Linked DNA regions of Elephas maximus indicus. The protein of the gene in region 2 purifies or fractionates together with the protein of the main gene of each other region. This does not show direct contact. Links are inferred from orthologs where the notes say so. Each region holds a gene or a part of one and is shown on either strand. Other genes may lie near its edges.

What was found.
Region 1: the proteins of FUS (region 2) and EFTUD2 purify together in Homo sapiens (affinity purification with mass spectrometry; 3 studies listed by BioGRID and IntAct, with this or other methods). This does not show direct contact. The link is inferred for Elephas maximus indicus from reciprocal best matches to the Homo sapiens genes FUS and EFTUD2.
Region 3: the proteins of FUS (region 2) and SAFB purify together in Homo sapiens (affinity purification with mass spectrometry; 3 studies listed by BioGRID and IntAct, with this or other methods). This does not show direct contact. The link is inferred for Elephas maximus indicus from reciprocal best matches to the Homo sapiens genes FUS and SAFB.
Region 4: the proteins of FUS (region 2) and SF3A3 purify together in Homo sapiens (affinity purification with mass spectrometry; 3 studies listed by BioGRID and IntAct, with this or other methods). This does not show direct contact. The link is inferred for Elephas maximus indicus from reciprocal best matches to the Homo sapiens genes FUS and SF3A3.

The regions. Positions count from the first base shown.
Region 1 is NC_064837.1:51,315,677-51,322,814, forward strand, and holds the start of EFTUD2 (116 kDa U5 small nuclear ribonucleoprotein component), read right to left. Parts: upstream 3,022-7,138; 5' UTR 2,899-3,021; intron 2,786-2,898; exon of another isoform or gene 2,673-2,785; intron 1-2,672. Other genes in the region: CCDC103 (coiled-coil domain-containing protein 103), read left to right, coding at 4,276-4,418, 5,176-5,308, 6,400-6,849. UniProt on the Homo sapiens protein: Required for pre-mRNA splicing as component of the spliceosome, including pre-catalytic, catalytic and post-catalytic spliceosomal complexes. Component of the U5 snRNP and the U4/U6-U5 tri-snRNP complex, a building block of the spliceosome.
Region 2 is NC_064830.1:90,408,111-90,414,984, reverse strand, and holds the start of FUS (RNA-binding protein FUS), read right to left. Parts: upstream 3,015-6,874; 5' UTR 2,949-3,014; coding exon 2,936-2,948; intron 1,414-2,935; coding exon 1,389-1,413; intron 1,295-1,388; coding exon 1,140-1,294; intron 1-1,139. UniProt on the Homo sapiens protein: DNA/RNA-binding protein that plays a role in various cellular processes such as transcription regulation, RNA splicing, RNA transport, DNA repair and damage response. Binds to ssRNA containing the consensus sequence 5'-AGGUAA-3'.
Region 3 is NC_064821.1:8,789,635-8,796,494, forward strand, and holds the start of SAFB (scaffold attachment factor B1), read left to right. Parts: upstream 1-3,849; 5' UTR 3,850-3,992; coding exon 3,993-4,181; intron 4,182-6,860. Other genes in the region: SAFB2 (scaffold attachment factor B2), read right to left, coding at 2,093-2,180, 3,324-3,509. UniProt on the Homo sapiens protein: Binds to scaffold/matrix attachment region (S/MAR) DNA and forms a molecular assembly point to allow the formation of a 'transcriptosomal' complex (consisting of SR proteins and RNA polymerase II) coupling transcription and RNA processing.
Region 4 is NC_064821.1:79,567,010-79,574,846, forward strand, and holds the start of SF3A3 (splicing factor 3A subunit 3), read right to left. Parts: upstream 3,011-7,837; 5' UTR 2,897-3,010; coding exon 2,801-2,896; intron 2,582-2,800; exon of another isoform or gene 2,538-2,581; coding exon 2,490-2,537; intron 1-2,489. UniProt on the Homo sapiens protein: Component of the 17S U2 SnRNP complex of the spliceosome, a large ribonucleoprotein complex that removes introns from transcribed pre-mRNAs.

The DNA.
Region 1 (7,138 bases), on a different chromosome or scaffold from region 2:
AAAAAATTTTTTTAACATTTCACAACACAGGAAAATTAATTACATAAAATTCAACAATATCAGTGTCTAAAAATAAAGCTGTAGCTAGTAATAGGGAACCCAGGGTTGAGAAAATATTAAATGACACAGGAAGCATCAAAAGAAGATGGAAGGAATACATAGAGTCATTATACCGAAAAGAATTACTCAATGTTCAACCATTTCAAGAAGTAGCATATGATCAGGAACTGATGGTACTGAAGGAAGAAGTCCTCATCAAGATTTTTGGACTCTCTGCCCAATTCGTTATAATCAAAATCAACCTCTGATTCTGATGAATATCAATTGAGATGTTTCAACAAACAGATGCAGCACTGGAGGTGCTCACTCACTTATGCCAAGAAATATGGAAGACAGCTTCCTGGCCAACTGACTGGAAAAGATTCATATTTATTCCTATTCCCAAGAAAGGTGATCCAACCAAATGCAGAAATTATAGAACAATATCATTAATATCATGCACAAGCAAAATTTGCTGAAGATCATTCAAAAATGGCTGCAGCAGTATATCGACAGGGAACTGCCAGATATTCAGGCGGGTTTCAGAAGAGGACAGGGATATCATTGTTGATGTCAGATGGATCCTGGCTGAAAGCAGAGAATACCAGAATGATGTTTACCTGTGTTTTATTGACTATGCAAAGGGATTCGATTGTGTGGACCATAACAAATTACGGATAACGTTGCCAAGAACGGGAATTCCAGAACACTTAATTGTGTTCATGAGGAACCTTTACATAGATCAAGAGGGAGTTGTTTGGACAGAACAAGGGGATAACGATTGGTTTAAAGTCGGGAAAGGTGTGCATCAGGGTTGTATCCTTTCACCATATCTATTCAATCTGTATGCTGAGCAAATAATTGGAGAAGCTGGACTATACCAAGAAAAACAGGGCATGAGGATTGGAGGAACACTCATTAACAACCTATGTTAGGCAGATGACACAACCTTGCTTGCTGAAGGTGAAAAGGACTTGAATTACTTACTAATGCAGATCAAAGACCACAGTCTTCAGTATGGATTGCACCTCAACATAAAGAAAACAAAAATCCTCACAACTGGACCAATGAGCAACATCACGATAAATGGAGAAAAGATTGAAGTTGTCAAGGATTTCATTTTACTTGGATCCACAATCAACAGCCATGGAAGCAGCAGTCAAGAAATCAAACGACCCATTGTGTTGGGTAAATCTGCTGCAAGAGACCTTATAAAGTGTTGAAAAGTAAAGATGTCACCTTGAAGACTAAGGTGAGCCTGACCCAAGCCATGGTATTTTCAATTGCATCATATGCATGTGAAAGCTGGACAATGAATAAGAAGACCGAAAAAGAACTGATGCCTTTGAATTGTGGTGGTGGCGAAGAATATTGAATATACCATAGACTGCCAAAAGAATGAACAAACCTGTCTTGGAAGAAGTACAACCAGAATGCTCCTTAGAAGCAAGGATGGAGACTGTGTCTTCTTACATACTTTGGAGATGTTGTCAGGAGGGATCAGTCCCTGGAGAAGGACATCATCCTTGGCAAAGTACAGGGTCAGCGGAAAAGAGAAAGACCCTCAACAAGGTGGACTGACACAGTGGCTGCAACAATGAGCTCATGCATAACAACGATTATAAGGATGGCTCAGGACTGGGCAGTGTTTTGTTCTGTTGTGCATAGGGTCGCTATGAGTCGGAACCGACTCGACGGCACCTAACAACAAAAACAACAACCGAGTTGAGAAAGGAGAGTGTTGACATGTCATGGGGTTGTTAACCAATGTCATACAACAATGTGTGTACTAACTGTATGATGAGCCATTAGTTTGTTCTGTTAACCTTCATCTAAAATACAATAAAACAAACAATACATAAATAAAAATAAAGCTGTACTGGAACACAACCAGACTTATTTGTTTATATTATCTGTAGTACCTTTAGAAGAGTTCCTGGGTGGCACAAATGTTTAACTGTCCCCTACTGGCCTAACGGCTGGCAATTCAAACCCACTCGGAGGCACCATGATAGACAGGCCTGGTGATCTCCTCCTGAGAGGTCACAGCCTTGAAAATCCTACGGAGCAGTTGCCGTCCAGTTGATTCCGACTCATAGCGACCCTATAGGACACAGTAGAACTGCCCCATAGAGTTTCCAAGGAATGCCTGGTGGATTCGAACTGCCAACCTTTTGGTCAGCAGCCCTAGCACTTAACCACTACGCCACCAGGGTCTCCACTTTGCATACATGGGGTCACTATAAGTCGAAATCGACTCGATGATGATTGACAACAGCAACGTTCTATATAGACCTTTACACCTTCATCAACATTTATGTCTTTGAATGGTAGTTAACTGTACTGTTAGGTACCCTCACTGTTCTCTTCATCACCCCAACTACAATTTTAGCAAGGACTGTTTTGTTCGCTTAGAACAAAACAATACATCCTTACTGAATCAATGAATGACTCCACCAAGGCACAGAGAAGCTAGCTGACTGGCCAACAGTTGCACAAAACCAGTTAGTGACTTTTGGTGCCAGTCCTGACTGTAGCTTCTCGCTATCACGCAGAGTCCCAAAAGAAGGAAGGGGCGAAGGCGACCCAGATAGAAGAGAAAGAGAGGGAACCAGACAGAACGTAAGCCTTACCTACGAGATTTTACGGACGGACGATACGGAGGGAACCCCAGAATTGGGGTGGGGGGGAGTAGAGAGAGAAGGGTTCTTTGAATCGGTCCCCTTTCCGCTCCAGGCCTCAATTTCTCCAAGCGAAAGGGGGACAGACAGCATATAACGTCTTTTCCATATATGACGTTTATAATTTCCCATCCCACCCGGAGCAACGTCCCCACGCCATTGACCTGCGCCAGCTCACCTCGCGCCCGCTCAGCCAGAAGCCCCAAGTCTGCCGCCGAAGGCCGCGCTCTGTCCCACGCCGCGCCGCGCCTGCGCCCGCAGTCAGGAAGGACCCCGCAGACGCCTCGGGGGCGTTCCTGCCCCGAAGGACAACCCTCCGCCTGAGGACCGGCTCGGAGGAGTGCCAGCCATGGAGACAGGAAGGCCCGAGATGGAGTTGTGGGTCCCCAAAATAAGGCGCGGCTGTCCCAAAGAAAGTATGACCCGAGGAGGCATGAATCTGATCAGGCACCTCGGAGCCACCCCGAAAAGGGGCCTTCGAGAAGATCACGTGGGCAGGCTGTTGTGGCAGTTGCTGAGCAACCACAGCTGCTAGGAGTAGATTGCGCTGAGCGCCCTCTTTCCCTGATGTTTCAGGGGATCCCCAAAGAAAGCAAGGGATCCGAGACCCGGGCTGCTGGGGTGAAGTTCCCGGTGACTGAATTAGGGAGGCGGAAGGGTTAGTTTCTCTCTCAGTTCAGCTATTGGGGATGATTTAGAACTAGCAGGAACCGGGACGCCGGAATTCAGTTCTGGCCCTTGTTGGCGCTTGGTTGGTTTCTCCGCGTTGGTGACTATTGGGCTGGATGCGGGCCGCCTGCTTTTCGAAGGCTGTTGATGATGACTCCGCCACAAAATCTAGCCTAATCCACCAGGAGGTTAAAGAGAGATTTTACAGCAAATAAATGTCAAAGACTAGAACCCATATAGATAACCTGCCTGCAGATAACGCAGAGGCTACAGAAGTATAGTGGCAGGACTAAAGAGATTGCCCGAGTCCATGGGGACCTGTGCTCCAGCCCTGGGCTGAACAGAGGGATTTGAGGATAGGGATCATTGACCCCCTTCCTCTGCCACTTCTTCATTTCCTGCTCAGTCATTGCATCTGGTTTGGGTGAAAAGTATCCTTCCCCATTAAAGACGTTTAATGCAGGGTTAGATTTTATTCTAGAGCTCTATAGTACCTGACAATAGTTCAGCTTTTGTGTGAGGTCTTTTATCCCAATAACTTGCTATAAAGTAAAGGAACCAAATTCTGAGATCCAAAAGCCTCAGCGGAAGCAAAAAAAATAAAATATTTTTAGAGGCAGAAAACAAAACACAGGGCTCCAAATTCTGTTTTCGGTGACAACAAGTCTTGTGCAAGTCCCCACTGTGCAACTCAGCTCCCCTCTGTAAAGTAAAAAACTAGATTTCTGTATCACTATCCTCTTCACCAAGATAAGTTAAGTAACGAGATACCCAGAGTGCTTTTGGGTCATTTTGTGGGCTGGCAAAGAATCCAGAGGCTTCCTCTTCCCCCCTGACGATGACCCTATGCTCATGTCCATTCCCTTTGCTTTCCCAGGCACAGGTCATGGAAAGGAATGACATCATCGACTTCAAGGCTTTGGAGAAAGAGCTGCAGGCTGCACTTACTGCTGATGAGAAGTACAAGCGGGAGAATGCTGCCAAGTTACGGGCAGTGGAACAGAGGGTGGCATCTTATGAGGAGTTCAGGTTGGCTCCCTGTTACGCTGGACTATAGTGAATAAAGGGAAGGGCTCTGGAGTCAGTTCTGGGCTTCAGTTCTGGCCTCACCCCCTGTTAGCTGGGTGATCTTTTGTGCAGGTTTACATAACCTCTTTGAGTCTCAATTCCTCATTTATAAAGTAAGAACAATTGTTACGATTAAATGAGTTATTGCACATAATACTCTAAACAGAGAGGAAGTGCTCAAAAACTGTCAACTATTGTCACTATTATTATTATTGTCATTTTGACCTGTGTCTTAGCTTCCTGGTGCTGCTGTAACACAAATACCTCAAGTAGGTGGCTTTAATGAACAGGCATTTATTTTCTCACAGTTCTGGAGGCTAAAAGTCCAAATCAGGGTCTGGGCTGTGTTGATTCCTTCCTTGTTGATAGCCCCGGTGTTCCTTGTTTCCTTGGCAATCCTCACATGGTATCTGCTTTCCTTGGTATGTGTTTTCCTCTGTGTCTAATCTGCTCTTTTTATAACTCAGAAGTGATTAGGTTTAGGACATGCCCTACACTGGTATAGCCTCATTAACATGACAAAGAAAATCCTATTTCCAAACAGAATTATGTTCACAGGTATAGGGGTTAAGATTCCAAGTCATATTTTGGGGGGACACAATTCCGTCCATGACTGTCTGCTAACAGATTCAGCTGGTATGCTGCAAAGTCCAGCCTCCTTGCACCCACTTGTAACAGCACTAAGTCCACCCCCTCGGTCTCTGTTCTTTGCCCACAGGGGTATTGTCCTTGCTTCACATTTGAAACCTCTGGAGCAGAAGGACAAGATGGGAGGGAAGAGAACTGCACCCTGGAACTGTCACACTACTCAGGAAAGCACCTCCCAGGATGAGGGCACTGAAATATTCCAGGTAGGTGAGGCCCAGCCTTTTTCCCCAGCAGGTTCTCTGCCCTAAACTCCCAAACCTGTCTTCTCACAACGTATACCTTTGCCTTATAATTATTATTTTTTTAAATATTGTATTTTCAGTGAAAGTGTACACAGGAAATTTGGTTCTCATTTAACAATTTATGTACTTACTGTTCAGTGAGTTTGGTTACATTTTTCACAATATATCAGCATTCTCATTATTTCCATTTTGGTTGTTCTGTTTCCATTAATCTAGCTTCCCTGTCCCTCCTAGCCTTCTCATGTTTGGTCTAGGGCAAATGTTAACCATTTGGTTTCATCTAGATGATTATTTTGAGGAACACAGTACTCACAGGTGATATTATTTATTTTATGGTCCAATCTACTATGTGCTTTATTTTATACTTGAAAATATATGCATCACACATGAACATGTATATATACACATATATGCCTACAGTTACTCATATATGCCTTTCTGTACATATTTATGCGTATTTATATACCTATGTAATCAAACACGTTTTTTTTTAGTTGTTTTTACTGTTGTTGTTTTCATGTTAAGCGACCAGAGGCAGGTTTCTGACTCTGATCCCAGAAAGCAAAGCAGCCAGTGAATGCTGAGGCCAAGTTGAACTGGGCAGATCAAGTCAGAAAGATGTGCTGGGCAGGCCCCCTTCAGCCAGCCCTTCGACTTTCATTCCCAGAGCAGGTTTGGGTCTCTCCATCTCCGACTTGTGGTGTATATAGTGTAATGATTCTGTGGCAGTGTTGAAGGGAGACCCAGCCTGTCAGATCCTTGACACTCACCTTGAGTTCCAATCATCCCCTTCACCCTGCTCAGAGTAAACTCTGACTTATTCTCGTAGACCAGGGCTATATGTCCCCATTCATCAGAGAGACTACCCTGGTACAACTGAGAATCTCAAGTCATGGCTTAGTTGATCTGAAAATGAGACCCACAGGACTGCAGCCTTCGCAGTGCTCAAAGAGCAGTACCAGAGCTAAGACGAAAACCCACAGGCTGCCCTCACTGTCCCAGAGCAGCTGGAAGAGCTCTGGTCTCCCTTTCCTTCTTCCTTTGTGGTCTAGGAGAAAACACTCTTCCAGCCCGAGACCTCAGCAGAGTTCTACCGCGATTGGCGGCGACACTTGAGGAGTGGGCCAGAGCGCTACCAGGCCCTGCTGCAGCTCGGGGGCCCAAGGCTGGGCCGCCTCTTCCAGATGGATGTGGGGTTTGGACTTCTAGGGGAGCTGCTGGTGGCACTGGCTGATCATATGAGGCCAGGTGACCGGGCGGCCATTCTTGGGATCCTGCACAGCCTGACCAGCACTGGGCGCTTCACCTTGAACCTGAGCCTGCTGAGTCATGCAGAGAGGGAGAGCTGCAGAGGCTTGTTTCAGAAGCTTCAGGCCACGAGCGTCCCCAGACCCACGGCCGAGGGGCTCAGCCAGGAGGAGCAGCGTCTGGAGGAGCAGTCTGGTGGGCCCCAGGAGGAGGGGCTCCTGCAGGAGCTACTGGGGCTGTACCAGGTGAATTGATAGGACCAGCTGCCTTCAGAGGTCCCCAGTTGTCGTTCAGGCATTTTTCATTGGTTGTTGTCTTGGGGGCACTAGGACTGTAATGAGAAGCCTACACCTGATTATCTTCTCAACTTGGAATTTTCACAGCAAAAACAGGCATTGAGTCTTCCCCACTTTGTCAGTCCCTCTGTGGCTATGTATTTTGAACTATCTGGGCAGTCAAGGGCCCAAGAAGTTGAAAGCAGTTTTGTTTCCCACCCTTAGACGGCGCTCTTAGAGCTTGCCAAGCCTTTAGTCCGCTGGCCCT
Region 2 (6,874 bases):
GGGTGCTAACCAAAAGGTCTGCAGTTTGAATCCACCAGCCACTCCCTGGAAACCCTACGGAGCAGTTCTACTCTGTCCTATAGAGTTCCTATGAGTTAGAATCAACTAGATGGCAGTGGGTTTGATCCCTATGGCTATAATCCCATTTCAGAATAGATTTTGTTATGTTAATGAGTCAGATTCCGTCTAGGGTGTGTCTTAAACCACTTTTCAGATATAAAACAAGCAGATTAAGCAAGTAACCCGGCAGGCAAGTAGAGACAGGGACAATACAAGCCACATGATGGCCAAGAAACCTAGGAATAGAAGCTGAAAAGAAACAAGGACCTTCCCCCAGAGTGGACAGAGAGAGCATTCCCTTAGAACAGGTGCCCTGAATTCAGACTCCTAGCCTCCTAAACTGTGAAAAAGTAAATTTCTGATTGTTAAACCCAACTACTTGTGGTATTTGTTACAGCAATGCTACGTAACCAATACACTAACTGATCCTCACCCATACTTGAAAAGTCAGCCTCTTAGAAGGTACAAGTGAATCTTGTAACTCAAAGCCTTAAATTTACACTTCTCTTCCACCTGAAGTCTACTGCCTCAACTTACTATCAACTCTTTAGTTCAAAGAGACCCAAAGACAGTCTCTAAGACCACCATCTAATTGTAGCCCAAAAAATCCTATTTATTAATAGCATTTTAACATGCTGGTTATGTGTTCAGCACATACAACACCACTCACCTTATTTACTTACCCTTCTGGGCCTCAAGGCAAATTCAACCTCCTAGTGTATCACGTGTTGTACGGTAACAGGACTTTAAACATCTTTAAGTAAACCATACCTAAGCCTAAAAAATGTTCCTCTGTTCAGGGAATACCCTCCCCACATTTCACTTTCATAATCAAAGGGGAAATGTGAAAAGGTCCAGCAAAAATTAAAAAGATAAAAAGCCAAAGGCAGGAAAAAAAGTTACAAACCAACATGTATTTCCGTTTGAAACAAAAGACTCTGGCCAGAGAAGTTCTACATTTTATAGACAGGCTATGTGCCAAAAAAAAAGGACAATTTCAACATTTCCCCACTGTTCAGGTTTAAGAAAAGCAACACTCAATGCAGGAATAGGTCAAGTGCCCACTAAAAGAGACTCACTGTTCTGAGTCTGTCCATAAGAAGAACTATAGCTGCTCTGGCCATAACCTGAAGTGTCCGCTGAAGGGCCGTAACCACTGTAACTCTGTTGTCCGTAGGGCTGACTGCTCTGCTGGGAGTAGCCCTGCCCAGGTTGGGTGGGATAGGCTCCGTAGCTGGTCAAAAAAAAAAAAAAAAAACCAGATTAGAGAAAGACTCCTTGGCCACCCTGCCCTGTACAAACCCTGGAAGCTGAGACTCAACACTCACCTTTGGGTTGCTTGTTGGGTATAATCTGCAAAAAGAAAATACAAATCACATTACCTTCAGCCAATCCTGAAAGAGTAGGATAAAGCTAAAACTCCTTAACTCAATCACTGGGATTTCCAAGAAAAAACAACAAGCAAGACTTACAAAAACATAAATTACCCCATGAGACTCTAGTTGAGAGGAGGGGCAAGCTGGCGGATTTGTCAAATTTTCTTACAGCAAAGAATGATAACCATACAAAGAAAACGCAAATCTCTGCAGTGACCAAAGGGAAAAACAGCTACAATTTTCTGCAAAGGAACAGCTCTAAAACATTTTACATGCGTTTTCACAACCACTCTTTAAGGAAAGCACTACCAAGAGTAAAGACAGAGTAACATGCCCTACGTCAGAGACAGGGCTGAATTCAAGCCCGAGGTAGGAACGCTCGGAATGCTGTCTCCATTCTTTCAACCCAAAGACATTCTTGTCTCAAGTGTCCATTTTCCGACTTCTGTCCAATCTTACAGATCGGCCAACGTGGGCTTTTGGCACTAACCCAGGCAACCAAAAGAACCGCCCCCCCCTTGGCCCCAAACAGGAGAGCCATCAGTTCGCCTCAGGAAGCAAATGGTACTCAAGTCCCCAGTCCTGTGAAGCTTGAGAGTTCTTTCCTCATCCACCCTGCCTTCTTTGGAGCCTTGGGGAGACTCGGCAAACCGAACGGAGCGAAAGCGCTTTTATAACGCCAGATTAAAAGAGGTACGAACATCCGTACAGGAAATGAGGCGTTTCCCCCAAAGGGAAAGGCAAAAGGGAAGAGGGTGTGGCCCGAGCGGCCGTGCCTTTCGGCTCCCATCTCAAAAAAAAAAAATTTAGGCGGGAAAATCCTCGGGTCTGGTCTCCAAATCCCCTGGTCTCTCTTCCTGTTGCCCCCAGACCGTTAGGCCAGTGCGTGGCCCTGATCCCGAGCCTCCGCCCCCAGCCGCGTGGCAACCAAGGCGGGAACGGAGCAGTCCCGCCCCTTCCCGAGGGACCCCGGGGGTGAGACGGTGTCACACCGGACGCACGCCGCAGGCTCTCCAGCGGAGGGCCTCGCGACAAAAAACGGGGCTAGCACGAGGCGGCAGAAGGGTGCGCGCAGCTAAGGGGAGGGACCGCCAGAGCGCGTGCGCGCACCGAGTGCCCGGATGCAGCACTGCGACAAAGCGGTCTAGAGCGCGGGGCTGGGAGCGAAGGAAAAGCCTCTCCTGGGTCCGACCGTCTCCATCCTTACCTCATGCTTCAAATCATCAAGAAACGTTCCTCACCCTCCCCCCACAGCCACCTCAAGTAAAAGGAAGACCGACCCACCCACCCCGCGCTCGCAGGCCCCGAAGGAACGAAACAAAATGGCGACATCGGCCTCCCCCTCCCACCCTTCTCCGCTGCTTCCCGCCCCAGGGGTGCGTGGAGACGATTCCACACGCAGTCGCCGCCCCGGTCCCACTGAAAAACAAAAGCCCAGCTACAAGGAAACGAGGCCTTAGGGCTGGCGCGCCACCGCCGCCTCGCGCCCACACACATACCGTTTGAGGCCATGTCCGCGCACGCGCGCACAAGCCGACAAGCAACAAGATTCCACCACCACGGAACACCGACGCCTCGAGGACTGAGCAACCCCGCCTCCTGCGTCGAGGCTTATGTACGCCTCCCCCGCCTACGTACAGCAGGGGACTGTACCAAATGCGGAAAAAGAAAAAGTGAAGCAGGGCTGGATTCTACCACGCTTCAAGAAGTATAGACAGTTCAGGCCTCAGGAAGAAGCATATTAACCTAGAATATTAATAATCATAATATATAATCATACTTTCCTATAAAACACTCTAATTTTCTCTGACGCGCTACCCCACGATTCTCCTCTACCCCTGTAATTGCATAATGGTAGAGTCCGATGACCTGCTGGGGGCGGGGCGAAGGGCCCAGGGAGCCGGCGGTAGTCAAAGCCGGGATTTGCTGGGCGGGAAGCGAAATTCTCGTCTCTGGCCGCTTTCACTGGGCCTCGCTTTCACTCAGGACAGGGAGTTCTTGCCTTCCGCTTCGCCAGCTGAACTGTGCCGCCCGCCGCCAACCTCCCTTGCACACTCACACCCCCGCTGACTCTAACGCTCCTTTTCCGACGCACATGAACTCTCTCACTGCCTCAATTTTCACTTCATTTTTCATGGCTGCCTATTCTCAGTCCCTACGAGGGTGTGTAGATTTTGAGGTTAATTTAATTTGAAAGGAAGCATAGATTTAGCCCAGGCGCGTTTCGCCCAAACCTTCAGGCTTTGCCCCTTATTAGCCGTGGGAGGGGAAAGCCCACACCTCCCTGGACTTCGGAGAACCTTGGGAGCTACCTTTTATTCTCCTGAATCCCCACCAAGGCACCAGTTTAGAGATGCCAGTAATAAATGACATTTGTTATAAGGCGTAAGTGGTTTAAAAATGCGCAATAACTGCGTTCCCATCACCATTTTGTGCGGTCGATTCCAACTCATACCGACACTCCCATAGAGTTTCCAAGGAGCACCTGGTGGATTTGAACCGCTGGCCCTTTGGTTAGCAGCCATAGTACTTAACCACTATGCCACCAAGGCTTCCTACGTTTTATAGGTAAGAAAAGTGAGTCTCAGGCCAAGTAAATCCATGATTGTAGGGCAGCTAAAGGTCAGTGGTGCCATTTGAATCCAGGTCTGTGTGACTGCAAAACATTCCTTTTGTTGGCTACATGAACACTTTGGAGTGTTCAGAAGCCTGTTCACTTCCCTTGAGAGCAAAGAGAAAAAATGAAATTCAGATTAACTCACAACTTCCACTCTATAATAAGCCTTGCTTGGAGAAGGCAACTTTTAACTCTAGAATAAAACAAAGGTTACTCCTGATAACATGCCATGCAAATTTTCCTTCCCAACTTACTTCTCCAGAAGTCACTTTGTAGGTTGGACGCGTTTTTCTAGAGAAACAATGAGGGGTACGACCCAACCTGCCCATAAACTTCCATTAAACCTCTGATTTGGGCCTTGAACACACACACACACACACGCTTTGGAAGGGTAATGAAACTCTGAAGTGAGGGCAAAGGGAAATCCATCATTGATTCATTCATTCAACAAATATTCATTAAACACCTACCGGGTTCCAGACAAGGGAGCCCTGGTGGACCCTGTTCTAGGCAGTGGAGATGCATTAGTGTAAAAACAGATGACGCTAGCATTTAATACTGATATGTGTTATATCTATAGATTGTTGTTGTTTTGGTTAGGTTCTGACTCATAGCAACCCTATGTACAACAGAATGAAACACTGCCCGGTCGTGCATCATCCTCACAATCCTTATGCTTGAGCCCATTGTTGCAGCCACTGTGTCAGCCCACCTCACGGAGGGTCTTCCTCTTTTTCGCTGACACTCTACTTTTCCAACCATGACATCCTTCTCCAGAGACTCAACCCTCCCGATATCAACCCTCCCGATAATATGTCCAAAAGTATGTGAGACGTAGCCTTGCTCTCTTTGTTTCTAAGGAGCATTTTGGTTGTACTTCTTCCAAGACAGATTTATTTGTTCTTTTGGCAGTCCATGGTATATTCAATATTCTTTGCTAACACCACAATTAAAAGGTGTCAATTCTTCGGTCTTCCTTATTCATCATCCGGCTTTCACATGCCTAAGAGGCAATCAAAAACATCATAGCTTGGGTCAGGCGCCCCTTAATCTCCAATGTGACATGTTTGCTTTTCAACACTTTAAAGAGATCTTTTGCAGCAGATTTGCCCAAAGCAATGCATTGTTTGATTTCTTGACTGCCACTTCCATGGGTGTTGATTGTAAATCCAAGTAAAATGAAATCCTTGACAACATCAATCTTTTCTCTGTTTATCGTGATGCTGCTTATTGGTCCATTTGTGAGGATTTTTGTTTTCTTTATGTTGAGGTATAATCCATACTGAAAGCTGTGATCTTTGGTCTTCATCACCAAATGCTTCAAGTTCTCTTCACTTTCGGCAAGCAAGATTGTGTCATCTGCATAACACAGGTCGTTAATGAGTCTTCCTCCAGTCCTGATGCCACATTCCTCTTTATATAGTCCAGCTACTTGGATTATTTGCTCAGCATACAGAATGAATAAAAACCAAACCTGTTGCTGTCAAGTTGATTCCAACTCATAGCAATCCTATGGGACAGAGTAGAATTGTCCTGTAGAGTTTCCAAGGAGTGCCTGGTGAATTCGAACTGCCACGTTTTGGTTAATGGTGTAGCTCTTAACCACTACGCCACTAGGGTTTCCACAGAGTGAATAGGTATAGTGAAAGGATACAACCCTGACACACACTTTTCCTGATTTTAAACCACGCAGTGCCCCCTCGTTCTGTTCCAACTACTGCCTCTTGATCTACGTGTACATTCCTCATGAGCACAGTTAAGTGTTCTGGAATTCCCATTCTTCCCGATGTTATCCATAACTTGTTATGATCCACAGATGTTATGATCCACACTATGCCTTTGATTAGTCAATAAAATACAAGTAAACATCCTTCTCGTATTCTCTGCTTTCAGCCAGGATCCATCTGACATCAACAATGATATCCTTCATTCCACATCCTTTTCTGAATCCAGCTTGAATTTCTGGCAGTTTCCTGATGATATACTGCTGCAGCCACTTTTGAATGATCTTCAGTAAAATTTTTCTTGTGTGTGATATTAATGATATTGTTCGATAATTTCTGCATTTGGTTGAATTTCCTTTCCTGGGAATAGGCATAAATATGGATCTTTTCTGGTGGGTTGGCCAGGTAACTGTCTTCCAAATTTCTTGGCGTAGACGAGTGAGCACTTCCAGAGCTGCCTCTGTTTGTTGAAACATCTCAATTGTTATTCCATCAATTCCTAGAGACTTGTATTTTGCCCGTGCCTTTAGTGCAGCTTGGACCTCTTGCATCAGTACCATCGGTTCCTGATCATATGCTACCTCTTGAAATGGTTGCAGGTCAACCAATTCCTAATAATAAAAATACATATTATATTTATGTGTTATAAAACCGAAAACCAAATCCAGTGCCGTCGAGTTGATTCTGACTCATAGCGACCCTATAGGACAGAGTAGAACTGCCCCATAGAGTTTCCAAGGAGCCCCTGGTGGATTCAAACTGCTGACCCTTTAGTTAGCAGCCGTAGCACTTAACCACTATGCCACCAGGGTTTCCTTATGTGTTATAGCTATACATAATATATTTATAATAGCTAGCACTTTGATAAGGCTTATTAAGTGTCAGGCACTGTTTTGAGTGCTTTGAGTATAACTTGTTTAATCTTATTTAAACAAGTAAGCCTATGTGGTTGGTGTGAGGATTACAATTTACAGATGAGGAAATAAGTACAGAAAGGTCAAGAGCTGTGCCCAGGGCCACACAGAAAGTGGCAAAGCCAGGTTCTCAACCTAAGGAGGCGGACTCAGAGTTGCCGCTTGTTACTCTACACTTAGCAA
Region 3 (6,860 bases), on a different chromosome or scaffold from region 2:
CGTATTTGCTTGGATAGACCAACCTTAGAGCTGAAGTATGGACAGTGACATGAACAGCACAACTGCATCAACGTGTTAAAATTTAAGCTCACGTGCCTCATATAACCTACATCGTAAAAAATTGAACCTTTAAAACATAGGCTTAAAGTTTAAACAATTTGATGAATTATGAAAAAGTCCTTCCAGGAAAAATTGTTAAACTGAATTTTACTTAATTTGCCAATGTTTTAGTTTCTTTCTACTTTCGAAGCAGCTGTCCTCCATTGTCTGAAATTCAGTGCTTCTTCAGATGAACGCAACATGAACAGCTGTGAGAATTTTTCTGTGTGGCACCTTTCAAAAAAAGCCTACAACACAAGAGTTTTCTATTACATTGTCCTTCTCACTGAAAATCTAATGACGACGATGATAGCCCACTAGTCAAGGTTCCAAAGTCGTAGAAAATTAAATGTTTCCAAAAATACATTGGTATCAGCTATAAAAAGGAATGAAGTACTGATACATGCCACAGCACTGACAAACCTAAAAACATCATGCAGAGTTAAAAGAAGCCAGACACAGAAGGGCACGTGTTATACAGTTCCGTGTATACGAAACGCCCGTAAGAAGCAAACCCCTAGACAGGAATGAGATTAGTGATTGCCTAAGACCGTCAGAGGCAACATGAGCAGTGACTGCTTAATGAGCACATGGTTTCTTCTGGACTGACGAAGGTGTGAAATTAGACAGGGGTGACGGTGGTACATCCTTGTAAATACGCTAACAACCACTGATGTGTGTGCTTCAAGTGAATTTTATGGTATGAAAAACGTATCTCACTTAATACAAATGCAAGTCACCCGACTGTACGTGTAAAAAGTGTTGAAATGGCAAATATTTTATTACTTACAAACTTAGTACAGAAGAAAAATATGGGGATAAAATACCAATGCAGTACAAATACCCCAACAACACATTTTGGACCTAGCAAAGCTGGATCCTATTCGATTTGGAAAAGGCCTTGATGGTGAAACGGTGAGGTGCTCAGATACTAACCAAAAGGTTGGCAGTTCAAACCTACCCAGTGGCTCTGTGGGGAAAAGACCTAGTGATCTGTTCCTGTAAAGATTCAAAAACCCATTGGCGTTCGGTTGATTCTGACTCATAGCAACTCTATAGGGCAGAGCAGATCTGTCCCATAGGGTTTCCAAGGAGCTCCTGGTGGATTCAAACGGCCAACATTTGGTTAGCAGCTGTAGCTCTTAACCACTACACCACCAGGGTTTCCCCTGTAAAGATTACAGCCTAGAAAATGCTACAGGACAGTTCTGCTCTGTCACATTGGTCGCCATGAGTCTGAATTGACTGGACGGCACCTAACAACGTTCAGTCTTGGGTTGTTGTCATTTTCCTTGGTTTGAAGCCTGTATTTTGAAGCAGAAAGGAAGCCCAGCAGGGGTATTTGGTTGGTCAGGTCAGCTGGGGCAGCTTGAAAAGTATGCCTTCCTCTGGTTCTTTTTAATCCCAACGCCAACAGCAATTGCTTACTGCCTGCGCTTATCTTGGCTCCTCCAGCACCCTTGACACGACTGTTTATTAGGTGACAAAGAGTAAGCCTGCTTCTTTGAGCAGGGCCACTAAGGGTTAAAGAGATCCTTCCCCACCGGGCAGAGAGAACTAGACGAGTGCTAACAACCAGTTCTCCAAATTCTCTAAAAAGAACGCTGGCAGTGCAATGGTTAAGCACTCAACTACTAACTGAAAGGTTCGAACCCACCCAGAAGCTCTGTGGGAGAAAGGCTGTTGTTGTTGGGTGCTGCTCAGTCAATCCCAACTCACAGTGATTCTACAGGACAAGATAGAACTGCCCCCATAGGGAGCAGATCACCAAGTCTTTTCTGCTGCAGAGCTACTGGTGGGTTTGAACTGCTGACCTTTTTGTTAGCAGCCAAGCACTTAACCATTGCAGCACCAAGGCTCCTTCTCCCTAGAAAACCCTATGGGGCACCCTAGTCTGTCCCATGGCATTGCTATGAGTTAAAATCTACTAAAGGGCACACAGCAAGTTCTCCAAACACTCAAGCATCAAACAACAATAAGTACAAATGGATACCTTTAACACATTTCTTTGTAGTCTTCTTGCTGGTGACGTCTAACTCTATGTCAAGTTCATCAGGATCTTGACCTTCTTCCTTAACTGCCTACTAGGAAAAAACAAAATTTACAACATTATCAAATGCTGCCTGGCACCGGCTGTTCTTCATAAGTAACAATCTCCCAGTAAACAAAAGCAATTCCTTCTTTGTAAAACTCAACTCTGCTTCTGCTATCTGGGACTGCAAGCCCAAAAGGCACAGGATGGACTCAGTACAACTTGGGTTCTCTCTGGGCCCAATGCCCAAAGTCAAAGGAAAGGCACACCGCAGGGGTCTGTGAGCCGGAGCTCCAGCAATGGGGTCAATGACCAGGTCTGAAATGGGCACTGCCCAACCTCCTAACTTTAAGTTAATGCTGAAACAAGTAACGGACAGGCTGAACTTGATCCTGCATGGGTGAAGGGCTGGGTGGTGTTCAACAGGCCATCTTTGACCTCTGGGGAAGAGCAAACTGCCAGGTTAGGTTGAAGGTTGGTGGTTTCACTCATGAGGTATTTCAGTGCCTTCCATGTCCTTGGCATAAGAGTGGTCACTCAAACGGGAACTGACAAGGTTTCTACCCTGAAGCTTGTTCTAATAGTGGAGAGAATCCCCACGTATATTGGTTTGTGCTAACAGACTGCACAGGATGATAAAGTGGAAGACGGGGAGATGGAGCAACACTTTCAACAGGGCAGTTAAGGAAGTGACATATCACACAGACCAGAAACGATAAGGGGAGGAACAGTCCAAGCTGAGGGCACAGCAAGTGCAAAGGTCCTGAGGCAGGAACGGGACCAGCCCGCTCTTCCTGTAAAATCTCAAAGACTCTTCACACTCCCTGTTAGGTCGGCGACCCCATGCTCCAGGGGAGGAAACTGAGACGCACGGAGAGAGAGCAAGGCACTTAGCCAAGGTCATAGAGTTGAGACTCAAAGCCGAGCCCCGGGAGGAGGCCAAAGGCCACCCGGGTGGCTAAAAAGTCCGGCTTTCAGAGCACTTGAGGCGAGGGGTTGAAGGAGGGAAGGGAGCAGGGCACAGCGTGGAGTGGTGACGGGCCAAGGTCACAAAATCGGGTCCCCGGGTCCCGGACAGCTCGAGCCGGGGTCCCTACGAGGGGGACGGGCAGGGACGCCCCGGGCCCGGGCTCCAGGCCAGCAAGGGGGCGTGCCTCGGCCCCCCACGCCACCCCGGGGCCCCAAGCATCACCTTTTTGAGCCGCTCCATCAGGGCGCTCTTGTTGCCGCCCGTGTCCAGGTTCCGTTTCTTCAACTCCGCCCGCAGATCGATCACACGCAGATCGCTGAGCCGCCGCGTCCCGGTCTCTGAGGCGCTCGAGTCGACAGCGGCCGTGTCAGAGCCCGAGTCGCCCGGCCCTGCTAGAGTCTCCGCCATCCTGGGCTTCCCGTCTCCGTCACCTACTTCCCACACCGCCGGCAGCTGTAGAGGCTCTGAACACAAAATGGCGCCGCCTTAGAGGAAAACGCACTCGCTTCCTCCCGCCCCGCTTTCCGGCGCGCATGCGCGCTGCCCCAACCAGCGTTCTTAACCTCCCGCGCGCTCGCGCGCCGACCAACCGCACGCTCCCCGCCACAACGCGCAAGCGCCGTAACTGCAGCACGCAAGTTTCTCGGCCATCCCCGGCGGGAGGCTGCTGGGGCGCAACGCGCCTGCGCGCACCCCCCGCCAAGGCTTTTACCGCGCATGTGCAGATGCGTCCCGAAGCGTCGTCCTCGCGCCGAGTGCGTCTGCGCAAAAGCGAGGCGCGCCGGGGCGGCTGGAGCGGTTCCCTCTCAGGCGGCGCCATTTTGTGCTAGAAGCCGAGATTCAACCGGCCCGGTTCTGTGTGAAGTGGGCGGCGGAGCCAGGGTCCCTGGAATGGCGGAGACTCTGTCAGGCCTAGGCGATTCGGGTGCGGTGGGCGCAGCTGCTCTGAGCTCCGCCTCGTCGGAGACCGGGACGCGCCGTCTCAGCGATCTGCGGGTGATCGACCTGCGGGCGGAGCTGAAGAAACGGAATCTGGACTCCAGCGGCAACAAGAGCGTTTTGATGGAGCGCCTGAAAAAGGTAGATCTTTGGGGGGTGGGGGTGAAAAGAGGGTTGAGGGTCCCCGCGGCCGCGACGGTTGTTTCCTCGCCCTCAGGTCCGCCCCCGGCCCCGTTTGAGGCCTGCCCGGCCTGGCGCGAGTCCCCGCGCATCGCGCCGCTCTCGGCTGCCCCCAGGCCCCAGCGGGAGCTTAAAGGCCGAGAGCGTGATTTCTGAGGCCAGCGGGGCCCGGGTTCAAATCCCAGCGCTGCATTGTGGCGGGGAAAAGAGGAGGGGAAAAAAAAAAAAGCAATGCGGACGGGGGAAACGGTCTCGGTCCGCAGCTCGTGGTGACGGGTGACATCGGCCACGGGCTTGTGTTTTCTGCATCAGCCACTACGTCGAGGGCTTTCCTCTCGTTGTCTCATCCTATCGTCTGTAACTAGACTTGGGAACCTGAAATGTTCACCTTAAGGGACTCGGCCAAGGTCACACGGCCAGGAAAGGGTGGCGTCGGGGTTTGAATCCAGGCCGGCTGGGCTCCTGAGCGCGTTTTTCTCTGGGAAGATCCTCCTCGACCGTTAGGGCCCAAAAGCCCGGGGTATGGGGGTCAGTTACAAAATAAACAAAGAGGAAAGCGTTTAACGATTTACCAGCACTAATCGGGAGGAAATGAGAGGATGATGGTATTTAGTTATTGTTAGGTGACGTGGGTTGATTGCGACTCACAGCTACCCCATGTGTTACAAAGTGGAACTGCCCCTATAGGGTTTTCTTGGGTGTACTTTTTATGGGAGCAGATCGCCAGGCCTTTCTTCTACAGAGTAGCCGGGTAGGTTGTAACTAAGCTTTTCAGTTAGGATATCTCGCTTAATCTGCGTGCCATCGAGGCTCTTAGTATTTACTCAAACCGATTACCGTCGAGTCGGTTCCAACTCATAGCGACCCTGTACAACGCAGTAGAACAGCCCCAAAGGGTTTCTAAGGAATGGCTGGTGGATTCAAACTGCTGGCTTCTTTGGTTAGCAGCTCAAGCTCTTAACCACCACTCCACGAGGCCTCTTTGGTGTTTACAGTAGCAAATAAATGTATAGTACAGTAAGGCTTAGAGAGGAGTGAAGGAGAGCTGCGGAGCTTCACCAAGAGACGAGTAGGGACTCAGGGTTCTGCCAGGCCTTAGTGGCCTAACCATGGGCAGGCAAGGCATTTAATCCCATCTGAACTTGCTTTTTCTGTGCAAAGAAGAGAATAATGGTGCTTTCGTTTTAGGATTAAATTGAAGAGCATCAAATGGGCTGGGCATATTGCCTGGCCCATCTAAATAAGTCATCGCTATTTTATCATAGCTCATAACCGGGTTATCATAGCTCGTAACCAAAAGGTTGGCAGTTCAGATCCACCAGGCGCTCCTTGTGTGGGGCAGTTCTCCTGTGTCCTGCAGGGTCGCTATAAGTCGGAATCAGCTCGAAGGTAGCGGGTTTATCGTAGTTCACTCTTTTGCCACCATTTTGTTACCTGCAAAACAGGGGCTCTAACCTGGCGCAGTACTGAGTGGTGTTTCATTCTGTTGCGCACGGAGTTCCTAGGAGTCAGAACTGACTCGACGGCACCTAGCAACAACCCCGTCTTGAGAATTTTATTCTGAGGGATCGATGTGAAAAGCACAATTAAGTAAGTTAGTGCGCTTTTAAGGAGCCTGGTGGTGCAACGGTTAAGCGTTTGGCCACTAACCCGAAAGTTGGAGGTTCAAACCCACCCAGCTATACTGCCAAGAAAACCCCCTGGGGCAGTTTTACTCTCTTGCGTGGGGTCACCATGAGTGTGAATAAACTCAACAACACCTAACAACAGTGCCCTCCTACTCTCCTTGCATTTTCCTCATTCTTTTTGACTTCCTTCTTTGCTTGCCCAGGCCTTGGTATCTCTCCAGGGTAATGTCTCAGCCTTGCCACCTACCCCCCAACCCTGTCCTGCAGACGGTGGGGCTGGTGACTCATTCCACCCTTCTGTCTCCCAAACAACCGAGAATCAGGATTTCATTATATATTGGTATTAAGAGGAAGTAGGAATTATTTCCCGTTTCCCTGATGAGGAAGATGAAGCTCACCAAATGAAAAACCAAACCCAGTGCCTTCGAGTTGATTCCGACTCATAGCATCCCTATAAAATGAAGCTCAGGAGGGGTTATTTGACTTGCCCAGGGTTATTTGGGCTTTTCTAATGGAAGCCTCTGTTCTTTTTACTATGAATACTGTCTCCTTTTAGGCAGGGCAAGGAAGTTCTCTGACCAAGATGTGACCAAGAGGGTGGGAAGACGTGGTCTATTTTTCTTACCGATAGCGGGGCTCCCGTCAGCAAAGCCTAATCGAGGGTTTTTACCCTGTCCTTCCCAGGCAGCACGTGAGCCTGTATATACTCTACAAAGCTGGTATGATGGTATTGAATCTTCTTGTCAGTTTGCTGGCTGAGAGACTGGCTGTCGCTCCAGGAATCCCCCATCAGTATCATCTCTGAGGGGACAGATTATCCCTCCTCCTCTCTCAAATACCATCAGCGTATACTCCCGTCTGCTCTCCCGGCCAAAAAGGATACCGCTGTTTTTCTCTCCTGCTTTTGTCATCCAGTTAATATCTCTCTTATTTCTCTAAGAAGGGCAAAGGAACAGGAGATGGAGGGAACACTAATTTTGCAAAGGTCTACTCATGAGTTCTGCTCCATCCT
Region 4 (7,837 bases), on a different chromosome or scaffold from region 2:
AATGTGACAAAGGGAAGCATAGGACAAATCTGCTGCAAAAGACCTCTTTAAAGTGTTAAAAAGCAAAGATTTCACTTGAGGACTAAGGTGTGCCGACCCAAGTCATGGTACAGTGGCCCCTCCTTACCCAAGGTTTCACTTCCTACAGTTTCAGTTACCTGAGGCCAACCTCAGTCCAAAAGTGTTATATGAGTAGCATACTGAAATTTTGTGCCGTCCCACTCCGTCCTGCCCAGGGACCACATTCACATAACTTTTATTACACTATATTATTGTAATTATCCTATTTTATTATTGTTGCTAATCTCTTACTGTACCTGATTTATAAATTAAACTTCACCATAGTTATGTACGTATATATAGGACCAAAAATAGTATATATAGGGTTCCGTACTATCCCCAGTTTCAGGCATCCACAGGGGATCTTGGAATGTATTCCCTGCAGATAAGGGAGGATTACTATATTTTCAATCACGTCATATCATGCGAAAGCTGAACAACAGATAAGCAAGACTGAAGAACTGATGCCTTTGAATTACACCGTTGGCGAAGAACACTGAATTTACCATGGGCTGCCAAAAGAACAAACAAGTCTGTCCTGGAAGAAATACAGCCAGAACGTTCCTTAGAAGTGAGGATGGCGAGACTCATCTCATGTATTTTGGACGTGTAATCAGGAGGGATTAGTCCCTGGAGAAGGACATCATGCTTGATAATGTAGAGGGTCAGTGGAAGAAACGAAGACCCTCCATGAGTTGGACTAACACAGAAGCTGCAACAACCGGCTCAAGCATAGCAAAGATTGTGAGGATGGCCCAGGACTGGGCAGTGTTTCATTCTGTTGTACATAAGGTCCCTAAGAGTCGGAACTGTCTCAATGGCACCTAACAACAACAACAACGGGACAAACCCAGATGGAAATAAAAGTTAAAACTTGATGCGTTTTTCTATAAATCTGTTAAAGAAAAGGTTTTATTTAAGGAAATAAGGCTACGCCAATTACCAAAAGACTAGTAAAGACAAAAGAAAGAGTTGAGAGACTCTTCCCAACAGGGCGGAGATATTTAAAAACTGGATAAATAAGGCGGATATTGATTGGGTTAAAATAAAACAAACGCTGTCTTAGTAAGAACCATAAACAAGTCCTCTCTATTGTAAAGAAATTTTTAAGAAGTAAAAACATAAAAATCACAATAAAAATGCATCAAAATTGCTTGGAAAAATGGTTCCATCCCTGTGGTGGTCCAAAACCAGTTGACGAAATCTTAAAAGGGCTACAGTTAGATTGAAAAATATGGAAAATGGTGAAAAGTTTGGAAAAAAATTTAAACTATGTAAACAAATTTTATTTTAACAGTAATTGTTTTGTGGTATATAGGCTTGTAGATAATTTTCAAGATCTTTACATAACTTAAAACCTTTGGATTGATACCAAATTGGGTTAATTAGTACATAAAATTCATTGTCGTGGAATAGATTCTGACTCATAACAACCCTATAAAATAGAGTAGAACTGCCCCATAGGGTTTCCAAAACTGTAATCTTTGTGGAAGCAGAAGTGATTGCCATGTCAACAGGCCCACCTTTCTCTTAGCAGCCAAGTGCTTAACCCCTGCCCCACCATGGCTCCTTAAGTGGGATAATAAACTAAAAAAAAAAACAAAACCTGTTGCTGTTGACTCAATTCTGACTCAGAGCCACCTTATAGGATAGAGTGGAACTGCTCCATAGGGTTACCAAGGAGCAGCTGGTGGATGCCAATTGCAGCCAAGTGCTTAAACACTGTGCCACCAGGGCGAAGTGGAATAAGAAACACCATAAAAAGCCTCTCATCTGCTCAGGGCAGGTTTTGCTGCCAAATGAGGCCACATTATGTTTTGCCACCAAAAAACCTATCGATTTACAAACTGTTTTTGGATTTGGGGATGTAGATAAGGGACAGGACTGGTAGTAATGTTTATCTCCTGCAAATAAAAAAAATCTAATTAGGCCTTTAATCCTTTCTGAGCAGATTTCAAATACATGAAAAAGTAGTATAATGAATCTCCATTTACCCATCACCCAACTTTATTACCAACATTTTACTTTAGTTTTCTTTTTTTCAAATAAGAAAATCTAACTGGGCAAAAGCACTTTGGTAAACAAAAACATTTCAAAAGAGAGGTCTGGAAGGGAAACACTAACACAGCATTCTCGTTTTGCGGGGACACAACAGTACCTTCTGTGTCTGAGTCACTGAGTCCTCCTCACTATTTTTCGCACATCCAAGGGACACAGAAGGCATTACTTTCCGAGTAATGAAGAGGAAGCGCTCCCCACTCAGGAAAGTGAGGAGGAGCAGCTCAGGAGCCTCAGGTTCGGCTGCAGGCGGACAACCCTGGCCAGTCAGGTGAGCTCTGGCCAGGGCTCCCGGTGAGACCCCGTGCTCCGCCCGCCTCCCCGCTCCTCTCCTTTCCCGCCCCCCGACCAAAGGACAGCGGAGCACTCACATCTTCCATGGCCCGTGTGCGGTGGTCGGAATTGATCTGGTCCCGGAGCTGAAGACAGACAAACGGTGACACAGACGCCGTTAGTCCCAGGCCTGGGGGTGGAAAGGCCGCCCGAGGGCGGAGCTTACCTTCGCAGGTTCAGCGGCAGAAGCGAAGAGGCCGCCGGGGCGCTGGGCCTGAGGAGGAGGTTGCCGAGGCCGGAGCTCGGAGAGGGAGCCCCCGGGAGGGTGGGGGGCAGGAGGAGGGCGGGTCTGAGGCCAAAGAGCGCGCTCGGCGGCTAAACCCGGGGAAGGGGCCCAGACCCTACTCACCGTGGACTTCTTAGTGAGCATCTCTTTGGCCATGACGTCCATGAGCCGTTCCCTCTCCTCGTGGTATCGCCGCTGCTGCTCCAGAATTGTCTCCATTTTTCCCTTGGCCGCTGTACCTCACTTCAGATCAGCGACGCGGCCAGAAGCAGCTCCCGCCGCCTTGAGCGCCTGCGTCCCCACGCGGCACGTCCGGCTGCACTAGAGTTCCGTAAGTGCCGGAAGTGCCTTGGGGACTCGAGGAAAAGGGGCACCGCGAGGAGCGCCAGCCTGTGCTATCGCGATGGCAGCATTGCCCCCTGCTGGTCGGGGTGTGTGGCCCGCTACCGAGCGGTTTGCAGATTCCTCTGGTGGGCGAATGGAAATCCAAGAGCCTGAATTCAGCTGCTGGCTTCTTAGGGCTTCACGGAGCTTCGTGGGGCCGTCTGGGCCGCTGGGGATCCTGTCTGGATTCAGGAGCAGTTGAGGAGCACGCGATGGGAATTGGAGGATCAGAACTTGAGTCCCTAGCTTTCAGGGTGACCTCTGACAACATTTGCCTCTTTTCTGGACCTCAATGTCCTTTTCAGTAAAATGGGGATAATAACAGATTTTTTTTTGTAGAAACTTACAAATGGAAACAATTTAATTGCCTTTCAGCGGGGTGCCAACCAAACCAAAAACCAAACTCGTTGCCATGGAGTTGATTCCGGTTCTTTGTGACCCTATAGGACAGAGTAGAACTATCTCATGGTGTTTTCAAGCGTGACTTGTGGATTCGAACTGCTAATTTTTTGTTTAGCCCACGTGGCTCTTACCACTCTGCCACCAGGGTTCACAGCAGCAGACTTAAAAACAAACAAACAAAAAACCCCTTAGCTGTCCAGTTGATTTTGACTCATAGCTACCCTGTAGGAAAGAACAGAACTGCTCCATAGGGATTCCAAGGAGCGGCTGGTGGATTCCAAGTGCTAACCTTTTGTTTAGCAGCCAAGCTCTTAACTACTATGCCACCAGGGCTCCAGCAGACAAAAACAACCAAACCCATTGCGGTGGAGTTGATTCCGACTCATAGTGACCCTGTAGGACAGAGTAGAACTGCCCCATGGAGTTTCCAAGGAGCTCCTGGTGGATTCAAACTGCCAACCTTTGATTAGCAGCTGTAGCACTTAACCACTAGGGTTTCTGGGCTCCAGTTGAGGACTAGATTGATAAAGTGTAGTACATCCAATCATTGAAAAAAAAAGGGGGAAGAAATCTGTATATTCATTTCTAGGTAGAGAAATGAAGACCTACAGCTGTGTGCTTATATGGGCATCTGTTTATAATTCACAATTGACAGAAAAACTGGACACAACCTAAACTGGTGAGTGTATAAACCAAATTCGGCATATCCACGTAATGCTACAATATGGAGGAACCTTGAAAACATAATGCCAGTTAAAAAAAAAAAAAAAAAAAGCCAGTAAAAAAAACCTAGATACTAAAATGACATAGTGTATGATTCCATTTATATGAAATGTTCAGAAAGGCAAATCCATGGAGACAGAAAGTAGATGAGTGGTTGCCAGGGGTTGGAGGCAAGACTGGAAGTGACTGCAAATAGACACCAAGTATCTTTTTGGGGTGATGGAAAGGTTCTAAAATTGGATGGTGGTGATAGTTCCACAACTCTATTAATATACTAGAAATAATTGAATTATACATTTAAAATGAGTGAATGTTACGGTTTGTAAATTATACTTCAATGAAGCTGTCAAAAAATCAGTGTGAACTCATGTGAAAAGATGGCCAGGAAAAGTCAAAAAAGGTGGATGCTCAACAGTGTGTATAAAAGATATACAGAGATGATTTCTGTAAGAATATCCAAGTAACACTAAACAATGGTTGTTTTCCAGAAGATGGACTGGCACATGTGGTATGAGAGAAAAGTTTTTCTTTGTATATACCCAAAATACAGTGTGAAAAGTTTTGTTTAATGTATTCATGTACTATTTTTTTAATTTAAAAATAAATTTAAACTAAAAAAATATATATATGCATGTATATGCTTAACAAAAAAGGACTAGAAAGCTGTAATGCATCAAGGAGTTATTTTTTTACCTTTTGTTCTCTTTACTCTTTGGTAGTGTCTAATTTTTCTACAAGGAGCCCCAGCAGAGCAATGGTTAAGAGCTTGGTTGGTAACCAAAAGGTCAGTGGATTGAACCCCCTAGCGGCTTGTGGGAGAAAAGACCTGGTGATCTGCTCCCGTAAAGACTACAGCCTAGGAAACCCTATGGGGCAGTTCTACTCTGTCATATAGGGTTGCTAGGCACAGGGTAGGCACTGGACTGGTTTTTATGAGTTGGAATTGACTTCAGGGCACAGAACAATAACAATTTTTCTACAAGGAATACACGTTGCTTTTTGCAAAAAAAAAAAAAATTATCTTCTGGTTTTTAAAGTTTGAAAAATAAAATGGGGGTAATGACCCTTGTCTTGCCTACTCATGAGGGTGTTGTGAGGATCATATTTGCATCTGAAAATATAAGCAAGACCTCCAGTGTTTGAGAATGGGGGACCCCAGGCACAGCTGCCCTCTGGGGCTTTTCCTGGGCCCCTAGGAAAGAAGGGAGAAATCTCCATTCTGGAGTGGAGTAACTCAGGGTGTTTATTATTATTATTTTTTGTAAGGTTGGTGATCTGTCCTATTTCATCCAATAAGAGATACCATCAAATGTAAAACTTACCATTATTTTAAGCTCCAAAAAGAAAGGAAAACTGTCAAATTATGACCCAGTTTTATAATTGACACTGTCAATTATAAAATGCATCTCAGGATTCTGAGATCTTAAACCTGGAAAATGTCTTGAAATCAATGAAATGTGGTATCGTACCAGGGTATCTCTTCCTCTTAGGTGGGTGGAACATTTAAGCACCGCCATTCATTCCTTCCCTTTGCCTCAAACTTGATGCCTACCTCCTCCTAAACCCCTTTTCTATCCCCACTCCATCAAATCAGTCCTGTCTTTTCCACTCCTACTGCCACCTGCCACCTGCCTCATCCTCTCTCACCTGGACCACTGCACCACCCGCCTAACCAGCTTGCTCATCTTACTCCTCCAATCCATTATTCATGCCACAGCCCAAGTGATCTTTCCAAAACTGCGATCATCTCACGCCCCTGCTTGAACATTTCCATTAGCTGCTTTACCCGCAGGGTGAGGTCTGTTTAACTTGGCACTTGGCTTTCCGTGACCTGGGCTTTGCCTGCCATTTTAGTCTCCTGGCACTTTTTCCAGATTAAATTACTTGGTGCTTCCCCAAAGCACCATATGTTTTCAGGCCTCCAGGCCTTTGCACCACCTGTTTTCTACGCTTGGACTGCTCCTACTCGACAAATACTCACCGAACTTGTAGTAAGTGCCGGGAGCTGGGAATGGAAGGGGAAACAAGGGAAGCCCCAGCCCAATTCTGACGGTCAAGGAGAGAAACAAAAACGTAAACATGCAATTATTAATCATGGTAAGCGCACTGGGCACTGGGAATGGTGTGTTGAAAATGCCAACCCTTTCCTCAGATAGTTTAGGACTGGGCCCGGGAGGCAGTGTAATGCAGATTAGAATCCAGGATTAGTGACTACCTACAAGACTTTGGGCAACCGCCTGAGTCTCGGTCTTCTCCTCTGTAAAATGGAAGTAATGCCCCACAGGTTTCTGGGAAGGTTTAACGTGAGCTACATCTGATCGCGCGGTTTCCGCCGGACTAGGAGTGAGCCCCACCCCACAGATCGCCCACGGTCCGCCCGCACCCTCACACCGAGGGGCGGCTGCCGGCGGTCCTCTGTGTGCGCATCAGCCCGCGCGTGCCGCGTGCGCGCGCAAAGCTGCCTCCACCAGTCAGATGGCGGCGGCCCAGACCGCAGGCCGCCGAGGGGGCTGGGGGCCCCGGCGTGGGACGCTGGGTGAGGGGTGCAGCGCTCCGCCCCATCTCCCCACTTCGGGGGTTAGCCCTCCACGCTCATTCACGCCCCCGCCCGTGAATCACGGGGGAGGGGGCGGGGCCATGACCCATTCATGCCGGGAATTGGATCCAGATGTTCCCGCGGCGCGTGCAGCTGCATCCTTGCCTTTTTTGGCAAAAAACGTGCGGCCGCGAGAGCGGATCCCGGGCCGCCCCCGCTAATCCCTGGGAAGAGGGGGAAAGCGGGCTGAGGGTCTGGGCTCAGACTGGGGATCCGGACGAGGTGCTCTGCAGGATTTGAGAAGGGCTGTGAGGGGTGGGGGCGATCTGTACCAGAGGTAACCCCACTTCTACTCCCGCCCCCCCCACCCTGACCCTCCTTTCCCCACAAGGAGGAGAAAGCCCTGTGCCAGCAGGAGGGAGGCCCGCTAAGCTTGAGAGGGATGGTAGCTGTGGCTGGGAACCCTTCTTTCGGGATTCCTTCTTCGGGAGGGACTTCCCACCCTGAGTCCAGGCCACCTCCCTCTCAGCCCCGCACAGAAGAGGTCTAGGAAGAGCTTCAGCATCTCCTGGTCCGCAAAGGAAGCTTCCTTCCCTCCCCTTCCCCCAGACAAACACATGAGGCCGGAGCTTTCTCACACTGCTTTATTACAGAATCTGGAGGGGGGAGCCCCATGGCCACCCCTCTGCCCATCTCTCCGTAAAATGGAGCTGAAATGAAATGAGAAGACACTCGGTGGACACAGAGCTCCTGCACGCTAGGACCCCCACCCCCAACCAGCAACCCCTGCCCTGCTGCTTAGACAGCCCCAGCCCTAGTGATGGGATTGGAATGGGGCCAGAAGAGGAATCAGACCTGAGTATAGCCCACTTTTTAGGACTTCTCAGGCACCCACAGAAGACCAAACGTCTTTGGAGAGAAGTCTAGATTTAAGGGGATCTGGGTTCCAGGGCCCATGTTTGGAGGGCTGGGGTCTAGAGCTCTGATTTGTGAAGGGGCCTTTGTCTGAGACCATGGGGGAGAGGGCTGAGTTCTGGAGTTGGGGTGGGAGCTTGAATCCTGGAGGCTCTATAAGAGGCTGGGTCTGGGGACCCTGGGTCATGGAGTACCAGTTT